2 linked regions of the Astyanax mexicanus genome follow. The protein of the gene in region 1 interacts with the protein of each later gene in a pairwise test. Links are inferred from orthologs where the notes say so. Each region holds a gene or a part of one and is shown in the gene's direction. Other genes may lie near its edges.

What was found. The genes of interacting proteins can lie anywhere in the genome.
Region 2: the proteins of copa (region 1) and copb2 interact in a two-hybrid assay, tested with the Homo sapiens proteins (2 studies listed by BioGRID, with this or other methods). The link is inferred for Astyanax mexicanus from reciprocal best matches to the Homo sapiens genes COPA and COPB2.

Annotation. Positions count from the first base shown.
Region 1 is NC_064415.1:44,436,325-44,444,651, forward strand, and holds the start of copa (coatomer subunit alpha), read left to right. Parts: upstream 1-4,982; 5' UTR 4,983-5,160; coding exon 5,161-5,200; intron 5,201-7,180; coding exon 7,181-7,294; intron 7,295-7,378; coding exon 7,379-7,452; intron 7,453-7,824; coding exon 7,825-7,905; intron 7,906-8,016; coding exon 8,017-8,093; intron 8,094-8,225; coding exon 8,226-8,327. Other genes in the region: pex19 (peroxisomal biogenesis factor 19), read left to right, coding at 14-100. UniProt on the Homo sapiens protein: The coatomer is a cytosolic protein complex that binds to dilysine motifs and reversibly associates with Golgi non-clathrin-coated vesicles, which further mediate biosynthetic protein transport from the ER, via the Golgi up to the trans Golgi network.
Region 2 is NC_064415.1:52,356,244-52,363,823, reverse strand, and holds the start of copb2 (coatomer subunit beta'), read left to right. Parts: upstream 1-4,485; 5' UTR 4,486-4,637; coding exon 4,638-4,640; intron 4,641-6,599; coding exon 6,600-6,737; intron 6,738-6,908; coding exon 6,909-6,995; intron 6,996-7,148; coding exon 7,149-7,275; intron 7,276-7,580. Other genes in the region: rbp2b (retinol-binding protein 2b), read left to right, coding at 59-237, 2,286-2,387, 2,880-2,933. UniProt on the Homo sapiens protein: The coatomer is a cytosolic protein complex that binds to dilysine motifs and reversibly associates with Golgi non-clathrin-coated vesicles, which further mediate biosynthetic protein transport from the ER, via the Golgi up to the trans Golgi network.

The DNA of each region.
Region 1 (8,327 bases):
TGTGTCTCCTTAGCCACCTGGTTTGAACTTTGACCCGGAGTCACTGCACCTGCCCGGAGGTCTGGGTGCGGCCGGGGCTGATCAGTGTTCAGTGATGTGAGGCTGCAGTGTTTGTATGTGTGTGTGTGTTTGCACCCATCAAACCCTAAACCTGCCTCCCCCTCCTCTGCTCACTCTTCGTTCCCTGTAGTCACGCTGGAGCAGCCCAGTAACATTCTTTCTGCGGGTGAGGGTGGGGTTTACTCTGGTGGTTCAACTTGCTCATAGTAACTAATTTTGCACTTTTTCACCTGATGACAAGTCGAGCAGCTAGAACCGCGTGCCTGTTCCGTTAAAGATAGAGATGAGAACACCGTGGGAGGTGAGCGAATGGGATTTTAAAGTGTGACTCCAAGGAGGGACACTGGATCAATAATTATAGCAACTGCGAAATTAATAAGCTGTAATTTAAATGGTTAATAATTTTTATACATTATATTTTCAGCATGTTTATTTTTTTTAAACATGCTGAATCATTGTTCCGTTTCTTTTTCATAATTAATCAGTGACCAAAACTGATTTTCTTAATATTTCAGCCTTTAAAATTAAGTGGTTTTCACTTTTCTCCCTGAGTGAGCCTGATTAGCATGGTTTAGGTAGCCTTGTGTATTTTCCTTTTGTCTGATTACAGTGAATTGTATGCTGGATGATGTTTTGATCATCTAAAAGTGGATAGAAGTGATGCGTCTGATCTGTTTTGCCTTCTGAAATTCTTTACAAGTGGACATATTAGGCATTTTTGCAATATTAAAGGTATAATCCAGTGGTTTTAAAAGTGAAATCTGTACAGTAGCATTAGCAGTAGCATACGGTCAATTACTACAGACAATCATTTCAACATGAGCCTGGATAAGAACAGAAAACCATTTATCTAAAACTCACTTATAATAGGGTTCAGTGAGCAGATGCTTTAAAGATGTTCATCCTAATCTGCTTTATTTGTAGCAAATGATTGATTATCTCAGACTAATATAATTTTAACAATGTTGCTTTGAATCTGACTTATTATAGAAGCAAGTGGGACCATGCTAAAATTGTGTTCCATTGCTGTCCATTATAAGTATTTTTGATTAAATATTATTATTATTATTATTATTTGACTTTAATACCTAAATTTGTGTCTGGTAATTAATCATTTCCTAAACATGCAGCAAAAAAGAATAAAGCACCCCCTTACATAGCCATTGACTTCTACTGTAAGCATTGTTTGACTAAATGGCTTTTCTTTAACGATAGAAAACCCATATTGTCTATTGTAATTACCTGTATACTAAAATGCTGCAAATACTGTAGGGATGAATTAATACACACACCCTGCTTCCATTACAAACCTGTTAATACCAGTTCATTGTAAAAGTGTAATTTTACAGATGATTATGCTCTGATTCAGCTCTGAGTTGTGTTTAATGATATTTATCTACCATTGTACCTCAGATAATGGGGGAATGTTCAAATTAAAATTCTTAAAGATTGTGCTTTTATTTTGAAAGCTGAGTTTAAGGTATGTAGATATGGTTGTTAGCATAGATTTCAATGAGAGAAGAGCACATAACCTCAACACTCAGGAGTTCATTGAACACCTACGCACTTAAATCAGCTCAACCTTTCCTCACAGTACACAGTTATACCTGTCCACTACACTGTGAACAGAATACGCAACTACAGTGAAGAAATAAAAAACATTAATCAAATTTTCTTTGGTTCTCTGTGTTTTTGTATCAGTTGAAAAGATCCTCTGTTCAGTTGTAAATGTGATGTAATCTGGTGAGCCGTGTGCAACAGATAATTTCTTTTATAACTAAATAAGGGACATGTTCAGTGAAAAATCAAATGAACATTGTTGATCTCTGACCCCAGAATGTCATTCAGTCAAGACATGTATCTGATGTGTGATTATTTAGTTTACAGTAAGAGCTGCTAGAATAACACTGCTGAGATGTCTGAGATGAAAATAAGATCACACCCGAGTTGACTGGGTTAGAAGTCAAACATTCAGGGGTCCTTATTAGAATACTCTGCATTTAATAACTTGGTTCTGATGGAACACAGCATAAATTTTTTATCAATTTCATTAATACAATTTTTTTATTTGAAAAAACCTTGAAAACTGTGACTTTTTGTTACTATTACATTTATACAACATTACCATTTTTATAATGTCCCACTATTAGTGAAATTCCACTTTCAGACTGGAGTAATAAATCACAATGTGCTGAGCTGTTACTCCACCATTCATCTCTATGGAGAAGTTTATTATAAAAATTACATACTATACACTAAAATATAAAATTATGAGATGCACTGTGTGAAATTAACAGTTTAATTTACAAAACAATCAGTTACTAATGTTGGGGAGGAGGAGGTGCTTATTAGCACAAAAAGCTAATCGAGCATAACAATTCTTGTTTTTAATATGTGCAAGAGAGTAAAACTTGTTCATTTTTCTGTAGTAAACAGGTTTTATGCAGTAAAGGCTAAAGCATTACTGCTACTGTGAGCTGACTGGTTGCTGATGCTGGAATTACATGCAGAGGTTTGAAAGGTTAATACTTGGAGTTTAAATTCTTTACTCATTTAATCTGCAATGCCTAAACATATGATATTGTTCTGTGTTGACATAATGAGTAAATTTTTCAGTATAAAACTATTTTTAGCGCCTGCTGGTGCTCTAACAAACCCAGAATATCATCTAACTGTAGATGATAAATATAAATTTTTTTAAAATATGCCTTTATTCTCTAACATATTCTTAATTTACTTTTTTTTTTTTTTTTACACGTTTGTATCAGTCTGTACTGTCCGTTTGTGTTCATTAAGCTTTTTTGTATCGTCCCTCACAGGGGGTAGTGTGAAAACTGGGGAAAATAATAAAGTTACAAAAAAAAATCTAACAGATAAAGGGCAGTGCAATGGTGAATCTTATAATATCCAAGAGGCACAGGTATCAGCAGACAATGACAATACTGAATAAACATTTGCATATGACAAATCTGTGTATCATTTGTTCTTTTGATATTTAGTTGAAATAGTTAAATGGCACTAGGTTTATTTCTCAGGGCATTATCTCCTATTCTCATTTTGTTTCAAAAACTGGCAGACTTAAAAAAACAATATATCAGACTGCTAAAATCCTGAATGACCTTGTAAATATAGTATGCACCACAGCCCTAGTTCTAGACTGACTTGCTTGGGGGGGCAATAGAACATAACGGGTGGACATGTTAATATTTTTTAAGCTAATGATACTGGCTAAAATTGATGTGTGAGGGGGGAAAAAATAGAAATGTTTCATGTGTCTTCAAACTTACACTAAAGCATACTATTTTTTTAAAAAAATATCCTTTGCTTATGTAAATTAATAAAGATTATCTAATTGTGATTAATTTCAATACCCCACCTTGGTTAAATTAGAATTATACTGATACAACAACTCTTTTATGTGAAAAAGTATCTAGACATAGGATGTGAATATAATACTCAAAAGTGGAAATAGGAATAAGTAAGAATACAAATATGATTATTAAATTAAAATATAAAAAAGTTAATAGTTTAACAAACAAACTATATACAAACAGCCTGTATTCTCAAAAAGACTCTTTTCTCAAAAAGCTTATTTGTAGGCCTAAAGACCTTTAACACAAGGTCCTGTATTCAACTGCCAAGTTAAAATGCGTGTATGCCCTTTTTACTGATAAAGAAAACTAAGTAATTTAATGAAGTGTAAATCTAGTGTAGGCTAAAAACTGAGTAACCTGGGTAACCTCCTTGAAATCAACTTTTGCAACTTGGGATGTCTGGCACCGTGATGTGGTACATGGGGGAAAACTATGCCGAATCAGTGGTTATCTATACAGACGCGTCTAAAATGGATGAAAAGGTTGGTGTAGCCTATGCCATCCCAAGGGTTCAGGCTGTAATGGCGAAAAGAGTGAATGATAACCTGGCAGTGTATACAGGTGAGCTGATTGCAATATGGTTGGCACTACGGTGGGTTGAGGTCAACAAGCCACAGAAGGTGGTGGTTGCATCTGACTCCAGCTCAGCGCTTATGAGCATAAGGAATGGCCAGTCTGATTCGAGGCCAGACCTTATATATGATATAGTGCAGAGAGCAAATAATCTGGCCAAGGCTGGAATCGTTACAGTTTTTCTATGGGTACCGGCGCACATAGGGGTCAGTGGCAACGAGTTGGCTGACAAGCTAGCAAAGGAGGCCTTAAAGAAGGACAGCGTTGAGCTTGAAATGCAATACAGTAAGGCTGAGATCAAAAGTGTAGCCAAGGCCAGGACCTGTGGTAAATGGCAACGCATATGGAATGATGGAGAGACAGGGAGGCAGTACCATGCCATTCAGAATGAAGTGGGGAGGCCTAGAAACACAAACAGAGAGAAGAAGGTTCTCCAGAATGAGGTTTGGTCACAAAGCTCAGAAGTACACTTTATAAGATGAAGAAGGATGTTGATGGGACCTGTGAGTGCAGCGACAGCCAGGAGACTGTAGAACATGTTTTGATTCATTGTCCAAAATACCAGACAGACAGGCAACTACTTATCAGCCAACTACAGAAAGAAAAGGCGTCTTTTAACTTTCAGAGTTTAATGCAGTTGAGCACAGGTCATGTGAGTTTTCCTATAAAAAAAACACATGATTAATTAACAAGAATTAATGGATAAGTCATTTTATCCTTTTATTTTCATTTTTATTTTTATTTTTATTTTGTGTGTGTGTGTGTGTGTTTTGAGGGTTGTCAGCTATTCCTGATCCACACTCCAGTCCAGAGGTGGCGGTAATGCACCAAATACGCTGGTTTGCCAACCGGAATAAAACCACAACAAGAAGAAGAAGAAGAAGGAGGGTTCTTCCGTGTAGTCCCCTCGGTAGGGGACATGTGCTGGATTTGGGACTCGCCCACACTGAGTGTGACGTGGAGGTTCCGCTGCAGCGCTGGAGCTGAGTGTGAGTGAGCGGGTTTGTGTAGACGTGTCAGCTCCGGAAGCGCAGCACCTCCAGCAGCCCGCTGCTGTTGGATCAGACCGGCTACGACACCGGAGCTTTAGCGGCGATTCCATTATTTTACTGGAGTGAACCGACCCTCAGCGAGGCTGCAGAGTCCGTCCGACATGCTGACCAAGTTCGAGACCAAGTCCGCCCGAGTGAAGGGTGAGTTCAGTCAGGACCCGCAGCGGGTAGCTGGCCTAGCATCACACAGGCTAACTGAGAATACCCCGAGCTAAACAGCTAAAGAAAACACCCGTAAACACATGTATCGGGGTAATCACAGGCTTATTAAAGTGCTTTTTTCTGTTTAAATGTTTAAATAGTGTGAAATATCAGGAGTTTAAACTGCATTCACAAACACTGAGGCCTGTGAATCAGGAGGTAGCTGATTAGCATAGCTTTAGCTTAGCACAGGTTAGCTTCACAGTGAGACTCTGTAGCTTATAGTGTTTTTAGAGTTAAAAGGGTTAATAGTTTAAGACAGCTGGTGTAATATTATTTTAAATAGCATACAGTTATAATTTTTAACTAACGTAGGTACGTTTTTTATATTTATGTAAAACGACATTTACTTAAAAAGCATTTATGTTAATTAACTTTAACTTTATTAATTAACTTAATTAACTTCCCCTGCCTAGTTCTAGCATCCTTAAACCTGTAGTTACATAACTAATGTTAAGTATGAGACTTGTCACGGTACAATTAAACAGCTTTAATATATTACCGTTTAATTTATCTATATAATTAAAGTGAAATGGATGTCAGATTTTATACACTTAATAGTGAAGTATGGAACTTTTCAGTTGTCAAATTTGTCAGTTTTTCTTCAGTTTTTGAGCTCTCGAATTTAACTCGAATGACAAATTTAGCATCAAATTCCTGAGTGTGTTTTTCTTCTGTAACATTCAAAATACAGATGCACAACTTGCACCGATTAGACTTTTAATATTAGGTGAGAATTCAGACCGATATTCAATATTATACATATACACAGCAACAGTCAAATCTTTGGGCACACCTCTTCTCATTCAAAGTGTTTTCTTTCTTATTATTTTGTAAATTGTAAATGCAATATTGAAAAGATTAAAGCTGTGCAGGAACATGTGAAATTAAATGTTTTACAAACCAGCCACATTTAGCTTTAAGGACAGATCTGCACACTCTTGGTATTTTAGTCTCAGTGTCTTCATGAAGTAGAGTCACTTTAAATAGTTTTTTAAAGCGTACTGAAGTAGTTCCTATAGGTGCTGAACAATAGTTCAGCTCACTTAGGTTTAGGTCAGGGGATTGTGGAGGACAAACACTTTATTTGTTTGCTATGTACACATAATTTCATATGTGTCCCTTAATTGTTTTAATGTTAATATTAATCTAAAATGTATAAAAGAAATGTTATAAATATATATAAATGAAGAAAAACACTAAATGAGAAGGTGTGTCCAAACTTTTGACTGGTATTGTATATCTGTTGATCCCGAAATATACATTTATAACAGAGAGACTAAACAACCTAGTATAATTTTAGCAACAAATGTAGTATTAATTTTCCTTACATTTCATCTTTTAGCTGTGAATAAAATGAAAGGTGTCTCCATCATTGGTTTCACATTATTTACGTTAACTGGTCCTTACATAGACTGATAACAGCTTTGAATCCTCATTTTGAAATTAATAGATTAAAAAAGGCATAGACCTATTGAAAGTAATAAAAAGAAATACAATTGTAAAATAAATAAAATTGTAAAGTAGCATGGTCAATGTCTACATCAGCAAGTATCAGTTTAAAATATTTACCCGATTCTGATGTCATTGTGCATGCCTAATTTATACAGATATTTTGCTTGAAATTAAAACTGTTGTTGGATCAGAGTGCAACAGAGGCTTTGGGTTGATGGCATTTCCTCTGTACATCACTCCTGTATGTGTTGGTCAGCACAGGAGTCTGTTAGCTGATATATCAGAGCTGTGGTTCCGGCACTTTTGCCCGGAATATTTCAAAAGTACAGTAGCAAAGTACACATATGTAACTACCATTAACCACTGATAAAAAAGACTGTAACATCTAAGGCATAACTGTATTTGCTTCAAATCAAAAACTGGATCTTTCGTTTAAAATAGGTTCACACCCATTGTCTGTTTCAGGGCTGAGTTTCCATCCAAAGCGGCCCTGGATCCTCGCCAGTTTGCACAATGGGGTCATTCAGCTTTGGGACTACCGCATGTGCACCCTCATTGACAAGTTTGACGAACACGATGGTAAGACCAAACTGCCAGTTGTTACTCTCTGAATGTACTGTATCTGTGCCTGCAGTGTGACACCTGTGTGTTTGTGCTGTGCAGGGCCAGTCAGAGGGATTGACTTCCACAAACAGCAGCCTCTGTTTGTTTCCGGCGGGGACGACTACAAAATTAAGGTCTGGAATTTCTGCTTTATGGGTTGCAGTACCGTTTCAGAGTTAATGTCCACTTTATTAGAAACCCCTTTCTTTCACCATCACAAGGTGCTGTCTGGTATTATTTCAGGGTCACTGCAGTGTTAAAATTGTTAAAATGAATGAATGATCAGAGAAGGTCTAACACAGATAAACACAAATCAACTGATGATTTATAGTCTGTAATGAAACAACACCCAGGTGAAACCACAGGCTCTATGTGGTGAACACAGTGTAGTTAAATACATTATACAGTTTGATGCACTCTAGATCAATATCTACATGCAATTGATCTCTCTCTCTCTCTCTCCCTTTCTCTCCTTCTATGTGTGTGTGTCTGTGTGTCTGTCTCAGGTGTGGAATTATAAACTTCGCCGCTGTCTTTTCACCCTGCTGGGTCATCTGGACTACATCCGCACTACCTTCTTCCACCATGTGAGTTGTTCTCTATACTCTGTTTTATATAACAATCATAATCACATTACAGGTTTAATATGTTTTTTGAGCTCCATTCTGAACCTCTGTATTTGTGTTTCTCTGTTTCAGGAGTACCCATGGATCCTGAGTGCCTCAGATGATCAGACCATCCGCATCTGGAACTGGCAATCCAGGACTTGTGTGTGGTGAGTGTGATAGTCTGTCTGAGTGTTTATGCACGGTTTTAACTCCACAATGCAACACATTTTTAAGTACCACATTTTTAAGCCATGCATGCTTTTTTAACAGTGTATAATCTCTCTCTCTTTTTCTTTTAGTGTTCTGACTGGCCATAATCATTATGTGATGTGCGCTCAGTTCCACCCGTCGGAGGACCTAGTGGTGTCGGCCAGTTTGGACCAGACCGTGCGCGTGTGGGA
Region 2 (7,580 bases), about 7.9 Mb from region 1:
TTGATTTCTGGACTCTTAAAACTTTATGAAAATAAACGTGTCGCCTTCTTTTCAACAGGCATTGATTTCGCCACGCGCAAGATCGCCCTCCTCCTGTCTCAAACCAAGGTCATTATCCAGGATGGAGACAAGTTCACGATTAAGACCCTCAGCACCTTCAGGAATTACGAGATGAGCTTCACTATCGGCGAGGAGGTCGAGGAGTACACTAAAGGACTTGACAACAGGGTGGTGAAGGTGAGGCCGTGATGAACGGGTGTTAATGTCTTACGTCTTTTTCCACTTACCTTAATGCAATAAGTCTTGCTTGACCTGCACTTACCCACCCTCTCGGCCTTGGCTCCCATCCCAGCACTGTCTTCGGCTCTGGTGATGGAAATCGTGTAAAAAAAGTAAATAGAGGATATTCATCAAGACTCACTCACCGAGACAAAAGTACACTAGGCAGTGATTTATAAGACTCATTTTCAAAGCACTGGATGGGCCAAAAGCGAATAGATTAAACACTCATTTCAAGAATTCACCACATACCGTTTAAATGACATTTAGTCCCAGGGAATTTGGTTTGATCTGATAAAATACTGCTCTAAAATGATGATCTGGCTTCTCTAAGGCCAGATATTGTAAAATTCCCTTGGAATAGCACTTAAAATGTTCTGCATTGTAGCTTAATACTAAAGTCATCCAAACTATGAAGAAAAACATATGGAATTATTTAGTAAACCAAAAAGAAAGGGTCAAACAAACCACAATATGTTTCATATTTTAGATTAATTTTTGCTTAGATAACAGCTTTGCACATCTTGTCTGGATTTTCTCAGTCAGCTTTATGAGGTAGAGTCACCTGTAATTCAAGCTTTCAGTTAACAGCTGTGCTGAACTTGTCAAGAGTTAATTACTTTAATTTCTTGTCCTCTTAATGTGTTTGAGAGCATCAGTTGTAAAGTTGTGAAGAGGTAGAGTTACAGGTATACAGTGAATAGCTCTATTTAGGCTATGTTCTAATTAATATTATGGCAAGATCTACTCAACTAAGTAAAGAAAAAATACTTGAAGAAATGAAGGTTAGTCACGGAACATCAAAAACGAACATCAAAACCAGCCTTAGAAACCACAAGTTAACAGCTCCCCAGATATGAGACACCTAAATGCTTGACAGTTTGTTTAACACTTTTGAGTAATTACATGATAAATTATGTGTTCCTTCTTACTCTAGATGACTTCAGCATTTTCTTAAAGCTCTGTTTTTCCTGTTCACACAACACTAAAAAAAAAGTTTTAAAATCTCCACCAAGCTTAGTTTTCCATCAAAAACAGCATCTTCATGTGGTTGGGAGGCCAAACTGCAGAAATAATTAAGAAACTCAAGAAGTACATGTGGACATGGCTTTAAATACCTCCTCATGTTGTACCTTTAAACTCATTCACACTATTTCTACACTGCGTCTAAGCAAGCATAATAAGCTAGATAACTAGATTTGTGTCAGTCCTGTTACTGTCTGTCCGCCTGCCACAGACTCTGGTTCTCTCAATAAAGACTCCATTTCCCAGGATACACCTGTGTCGTCATCCTTCTAGTTAGTTCACGTGTCTTTCCCCAGTATAAATAGCCCTTGTTTTTCCTATTCTAATCTATTCCCATAGGTAACTTCACATTTCTTTTGTGCATGACTGTATGTTACCAACCCTTTTTGTATCTCTGACCATCCTTTTTCGCAAAGCCTTTTGTTGTTTAGTTAGCCTACTCGTTGCCTACCTGTTTTGTTTATTTGACCACCCTTTTGCCTTGCCCTTTTAATTATATACTGGATTTCCTGTGTATGATCTCCTTGTCTACTCACTCTGGTATGCTGTTTGTTTACACTGTCCTTTGGTTACTGATCCTGCCTGTCCCTGATTATTCTTATAAGTGCAACCTCTTATTTAATAAATTGTGTGTTTGGTATCACTTACGGATAAAAGTCAATATTGTTACAAATATATAATGAATTTCTTTAATCCATGATTTGGAGTCACATTCAGACACATATACAGTCAGAATCTCTTTATAGTTGGGGGCAGGACAACAGAGAGACAAACTTACATATTGGATTATTAAAGAAAGGCCAAGAACTGATTGAACCATTGCTATGCCTATCCATGCCCACAGTCTCATTGTGTTTGACTGTACAGATCAGACTTCACCGGAGCCAAAGCCTCTGTGTTTGAGGAGACGTAGCTCAGTGTGAATGAGAGAGGGCAGGAACAGGCCACGGCACTGTTGACTGACGAGCTTGTCTTTACAGACTCTGATCACCTGGGAGGGCGAGGAATTGGTGTGTATACAAAAGGGTGAGAAGGCCAACCGTGGATGGAAGCACTGGCTAGAGGGAGATAAACTGCACTTGGTGAGCCTCCAATTGCTTTGTTTTACAGGGTAACATTTAATTGCACATTTAAATCGTTCAAATCAACTAACCAAGCACTGACTATATATAGTAAAGTAATACTGGATAGGACCTGCCTTCACATTGAAAACAGCTTTAGTATTTTGTAGCACGAATTCCATAAGATGTTGAAGGCATTGCATTGAGATTCGGGTCCATGGTCACATGACTGAATCATGCAATTGTATTTAATGCAGCGAATCTCATGTTCTTCCAAATCACAAAAATGTTTTACTGGATTCAGATCCACAGAATAGAAAAGGCCTCTAAAAACACTCATTCAGTACATTTTAGTATTCCAGATATTTTTGGTAGAAATGAGATGATCAAAGACGAAAAAAATAACCATTCATACTGTTATCAGGGAAAAAAAAAGTTGTATATTACATATTATGTTATTTTGCATTCTCACACTAACATACTACATTTCCTTTTTATCATTTATGATCGCAGGAGCTGTACTGTGAAGATGTTGTTTGTCATCAAGTGTTCAAGAAACAGGGTTAGTGTTCACTCTCTGTGCTCACTAAAAAAATGATAAATGTAAAATAACTGTATTGGCAATTTATATCAATAAAGAAACCACAAAATAAAAACACAAATGGATTTGTATGTGTGTTTTACATGTATTTTTCAACAAGACAATAACTAAGACTAACTTGTCATTAGTTATTAATTGCTTGAATTTCTTACCTCTTAATGTGTTTGAGAGCATCAGTTGTAAAGTTGTGAAGAGGTAGAGTTGGTATACAGTAAATAGCCCTATTTGAGTAACGTTCTAATCCATATTATAGCAAGAACAATTCAACTATTCAAGTAAAGAAAATAAATTGACTTTGCTTTGAATAAAGGTCAGTTAATCTAAAAAAAATTAAAACTTTGAAAGTATCCTTAAATGCAGTCGAAAAACCATCAAACATGTTATGATGAAACTGGCTCTCATCAGGACTGCCCCAGTCAAAAGTTTGGACACACATTCATTTTCATAATTCATTTTCTACATTGTAGATTAATATTAAAGACATCAAAGCAATTAAGGGACACATATAGAATTACGTAGTAAACAGCAAAAGAAGTGTTTGTCCTCCACAATCCCCTGATGTAAACCTGATCAACCGAGATGGGTGACCTCCAGGAACTCCTTCAAGATGCTGAGAAAACTATTCCAGAAGACTCTACCTCATAAAGTCACTGAGATTAAAATACCAAAAGAAGTTAAATGTGGCTACTTAGAAGAATCTAAAGTGAAGTATTAAACATATTTAGGTTTGTTTAAGACTTTATGTTTACTATACAATTTCACATGCATTCCTGTATAGCTTTGATGAAGTTTATTATCCCTTTCAGACCTGGATTATCCACAGTGATGGAAAAAAAAATGTAAGAATGCTGTTTTTTGTCTGTAGAGCACAGAAAAGAAGACTACTCTACTAATTTTCTACTAAATTTAACAGCAAATAAATAAAATTAACTACAATATATATATATTTTTTTTACATTGTATTGAAAGACTGTGTGTAGTATTGTATATCTCATATTGACCTTTTTTATTTCATAAATCATCCCTAAATAATTAAAAAAGCATAAGTAAAAAAGTGATTAAATAAGTAAAATGAGCTGTTTCTTTGCCTCAATGGGTCTAGTAGTATTTTTTCCTGTTTCATTGGTTTATAAATGTTTTAATTGGCTGGCTCATGATCTATTCTGATGAACAACAGCTCTCAAATATTTTGAACAATTTAACATTTTGACAGACAGACAGACAGACAGATAGATAGATGCTTTATTGATCCCAGATGGAAATACTCCACACTCAGTAGCAGGTATACATAGTACACAGACGTTTCAAAACAGAAAGTAGAGTCTTATAGAAAGTAGAGTCTTTTAGTTGGTATGTAATGGAGGTAGTGTGGTTAAATTATGCCCACTGTAATGGATACAGGGTCTGAAAGGGTTAAATTCATCCTTTACCATTCAGAGTTGTGCAGGACTGTAGTTTCTGCTCTGGATCTCCTCAGTCCTCCATGTGTCGCGTCATCGGCTCCCACCACACGTTTGAGGAAGTTCCACGTCAGATGAGAGTGTGTGTATCTTACTGTGTGTGTGTGTGAGGGAGTGTGTGTGTCCAGCTGGAGCTTTAGTGAGCTGCGGATACAGCAGCAGCAGCAGATCTGCGATTAGAAAGAGCGAAAACCCACTAAAAGCAGCAGAATGGTGAGTACAGCAGCTCCGCTCCGGTTAAGTTATACACAGCGCGTTGATGCAGTCTGTCAGAGCGCAGATCTCCCGCAGCTGAGTTTAGCTTTAGGTTTAGTTAGCGATGCTAAGCTAGCGGAGCTAAAGGCCACATACACAGACTGAGCAACGTAGCGTAAACGCTAGCCAAGTTAGCTAAGATAGTTAGCTGACCATGTATTCAGTCTGTGAACGAAATAATGCTATAATTTGGGCGTTTTCCTTTTTAAAAACGTACTAATAACAACTTCAAAGGCTTCAATTTGTAACCTAACTGTCTTTTCGGCTGTGAACCTGGTTAAACAACGAATTTGAAGCTAGTTAGCTTCAATGCTAATTCCAATATTTATCCCATTGAACGCAAGCTAGCTGGCTGCCCGGCTAACTAGCATTAGCTCGCTAGCTATCTCTCACAGTTAGCTTTAATAATTAGCTAGCGTTAGCTCTCTGAGTCCAGATGTTGAAGTTTTGTGATGTTGAGACGATTAACTATAAATATGAAGTTATTTAGTGAGCTAATTAAACTGCAGGTTGCCGTGATATTAAATATTGAGCTGCAGAGTTAGCTTAGCTTGCTAAAGTCAAAGCTAACCCGACTAAACTAGCTTAAGAGAAGCTGAGAGAGTTGACATTAATGACGTGGTGGTTTGCTAAGCTAGCTAACATCTAAACTATTTAAACTAACTATTAACTTAATGTTTTAACGTTGTATTTGTAAAAACGTATAGTTTGCAAACTATATACAGCTCTGGAAAAAATTGAAACCACTTAAGTTGCCGAATTAGTTTCTCTGATTTTTCTATTTATAGTTATATGTTTAAGTGAAATTAACATTGTTGTTTTATTCTATAAATATAAGTTACTGTCATTTAGAGCATTTTGCAGAAAATAAGATATGGCTGAAATAACAAAAACGATGCAGAAAAAACAGGTTCATATTCATAAAGTTTTAGAAGTTCAGAAATCAAAATCTGGCGAAATTACCCTGTTTTTTTAATCACAGTTTTTATGCATCTTGGCATGTTCTCCTCCACCAGTTTTACACACTGCTTTTTAATGCCACTCCTGGTGCAAATATTCAATCAGTTCAGCTTGGTTTGTTGGCTTGTGATTATCCGTCTTCCTCTTGAGGTTTTCAATTTGGTAAAATCAAAGAAACTCACCATTATAAAGAGGTCTCTCATTTTTTCCCAGAGCTGCATGTAAGCAGGTTATATTTAACTAAACTAGTTAACCTTTCTTAAGTGTTCATTTTTTCCATGTTTTAACATTTCGCCATAGGGTAATAACACAATAATAACGTAGAGAGAGGCTATATTTCATTACATGTATCAATACATGTATCCTATTCTATACTGCTCCTATCGAAATACATGTTTCTGTCATATCCACAGTAAGCATATTGAGGTTATCACCAGTACTTAAAGAACACTGACCCAACAGCTTTTTCATGCAGAGTATAGTGATTCTTATTTAATTTGTGCTGAACATTATTCCATTAAACATGATTTATTACACGTTGTAATGAAAAGTACAGTTGGGTCGGTGTTCTTTAAGTACAGGTAATAACCTTAAAATGTGTATTGTTGATATGGTAAAAAAAAAAAGGTGTCATGATACGATAAGCTATCAATATGTTGTCCATCTCTAACAGTGGTTATATGTGCCTAGCTATGGAGGTGTTGGCAGTCTGATCATATTGGTATTGCACTGGTCACAAATAATCCATGATAGAGCTGGACAATATGTTGTTAGTTTATCATATTGTGAGACCTTTTCTTATGATATCGTTTGTAAGCATTTTGGGGTATAAGAACACTTCATGTCATATGTGTTTAGAAAAGCATATTGTTTATAATGGTAAAAACTGTCCTCTTTATTCTTTCATTCTTAATATATTTGTGTTAACAACTGGGTGAACAATTTTCCCCCTTGTAGCCTCTGAGGCTGGACATCAAGCGCAAGCTCACGGCTCGGTCCGACCGTGTCAAGAGCGTGGACCTTCATCCCACGGAGCCATGGATGCTGGCCAGTCTGTACAACGGCAGCGTCTGCGTCTGGAACCATGAAACACAAGTAAGTGTCGAACCTCTTTGTGTAGACAGTTTATTTACAAACTGCAAACTGTAAAGATTCTGCTTTATGTTATTCAAGTCTGACCTCAGTCTGACCAAGTCTGATTTCAGTAGTTTAGAGAAAAAAATATTGAACTGTTTTAATATAAAGTTTTCTCTGATTGTTTTGTAGACCTTGGTGAAGACGTTTGAAGTGTGCGACCTGCCAGTACGAGCCTCAAAGTTTGTGGCCAGGAAAAACTGGGTTATCACTGGAGCAGTAAGTAGTAGCTGTGTTTAGTTGTGATAATAATATGTTCATTAAATACATGCATATATCATCTATTGCTTATGAATCAATATTCATTATATCAGGCATGATGTTTTCTTGGACCTGGTGTGAATTGCTTTTTTTCTGCCCTCTGTCTTTTAGGATGATATGCAGATTCGGGTTTTCAACTACAACACACTAGAACGGGTCCATATGTTCGAGGCTCATTCGGATTATATCCGCTGCATTGCTGTGCACCCCACCCAGCCCTACATCCTTACTAGTAGTGGTATGTACAGGTTTACTTTCACATGTTCTATATGTACAGAGATTTTAATGATGGCATCAGTCTACACAGATTTAGACCAGTTTTGACTGATTGATGATTTTGTCAGAGCTGATTCATTTTTTTTGGCATATCCTACAACATTTTTCTTGATATTGACCAATCAGAGGATGAAGTGCTGTTACATATGTAAAAATAAGGAAGAAAAAGAGAGAAAGAAACTATTGCTACCGTTTTCCTTACTAGTATGTTTTACTTTTCCATTTCCAAGTACAAAGAATTTTTTTCCCAGTCATTTCTCACCTAGA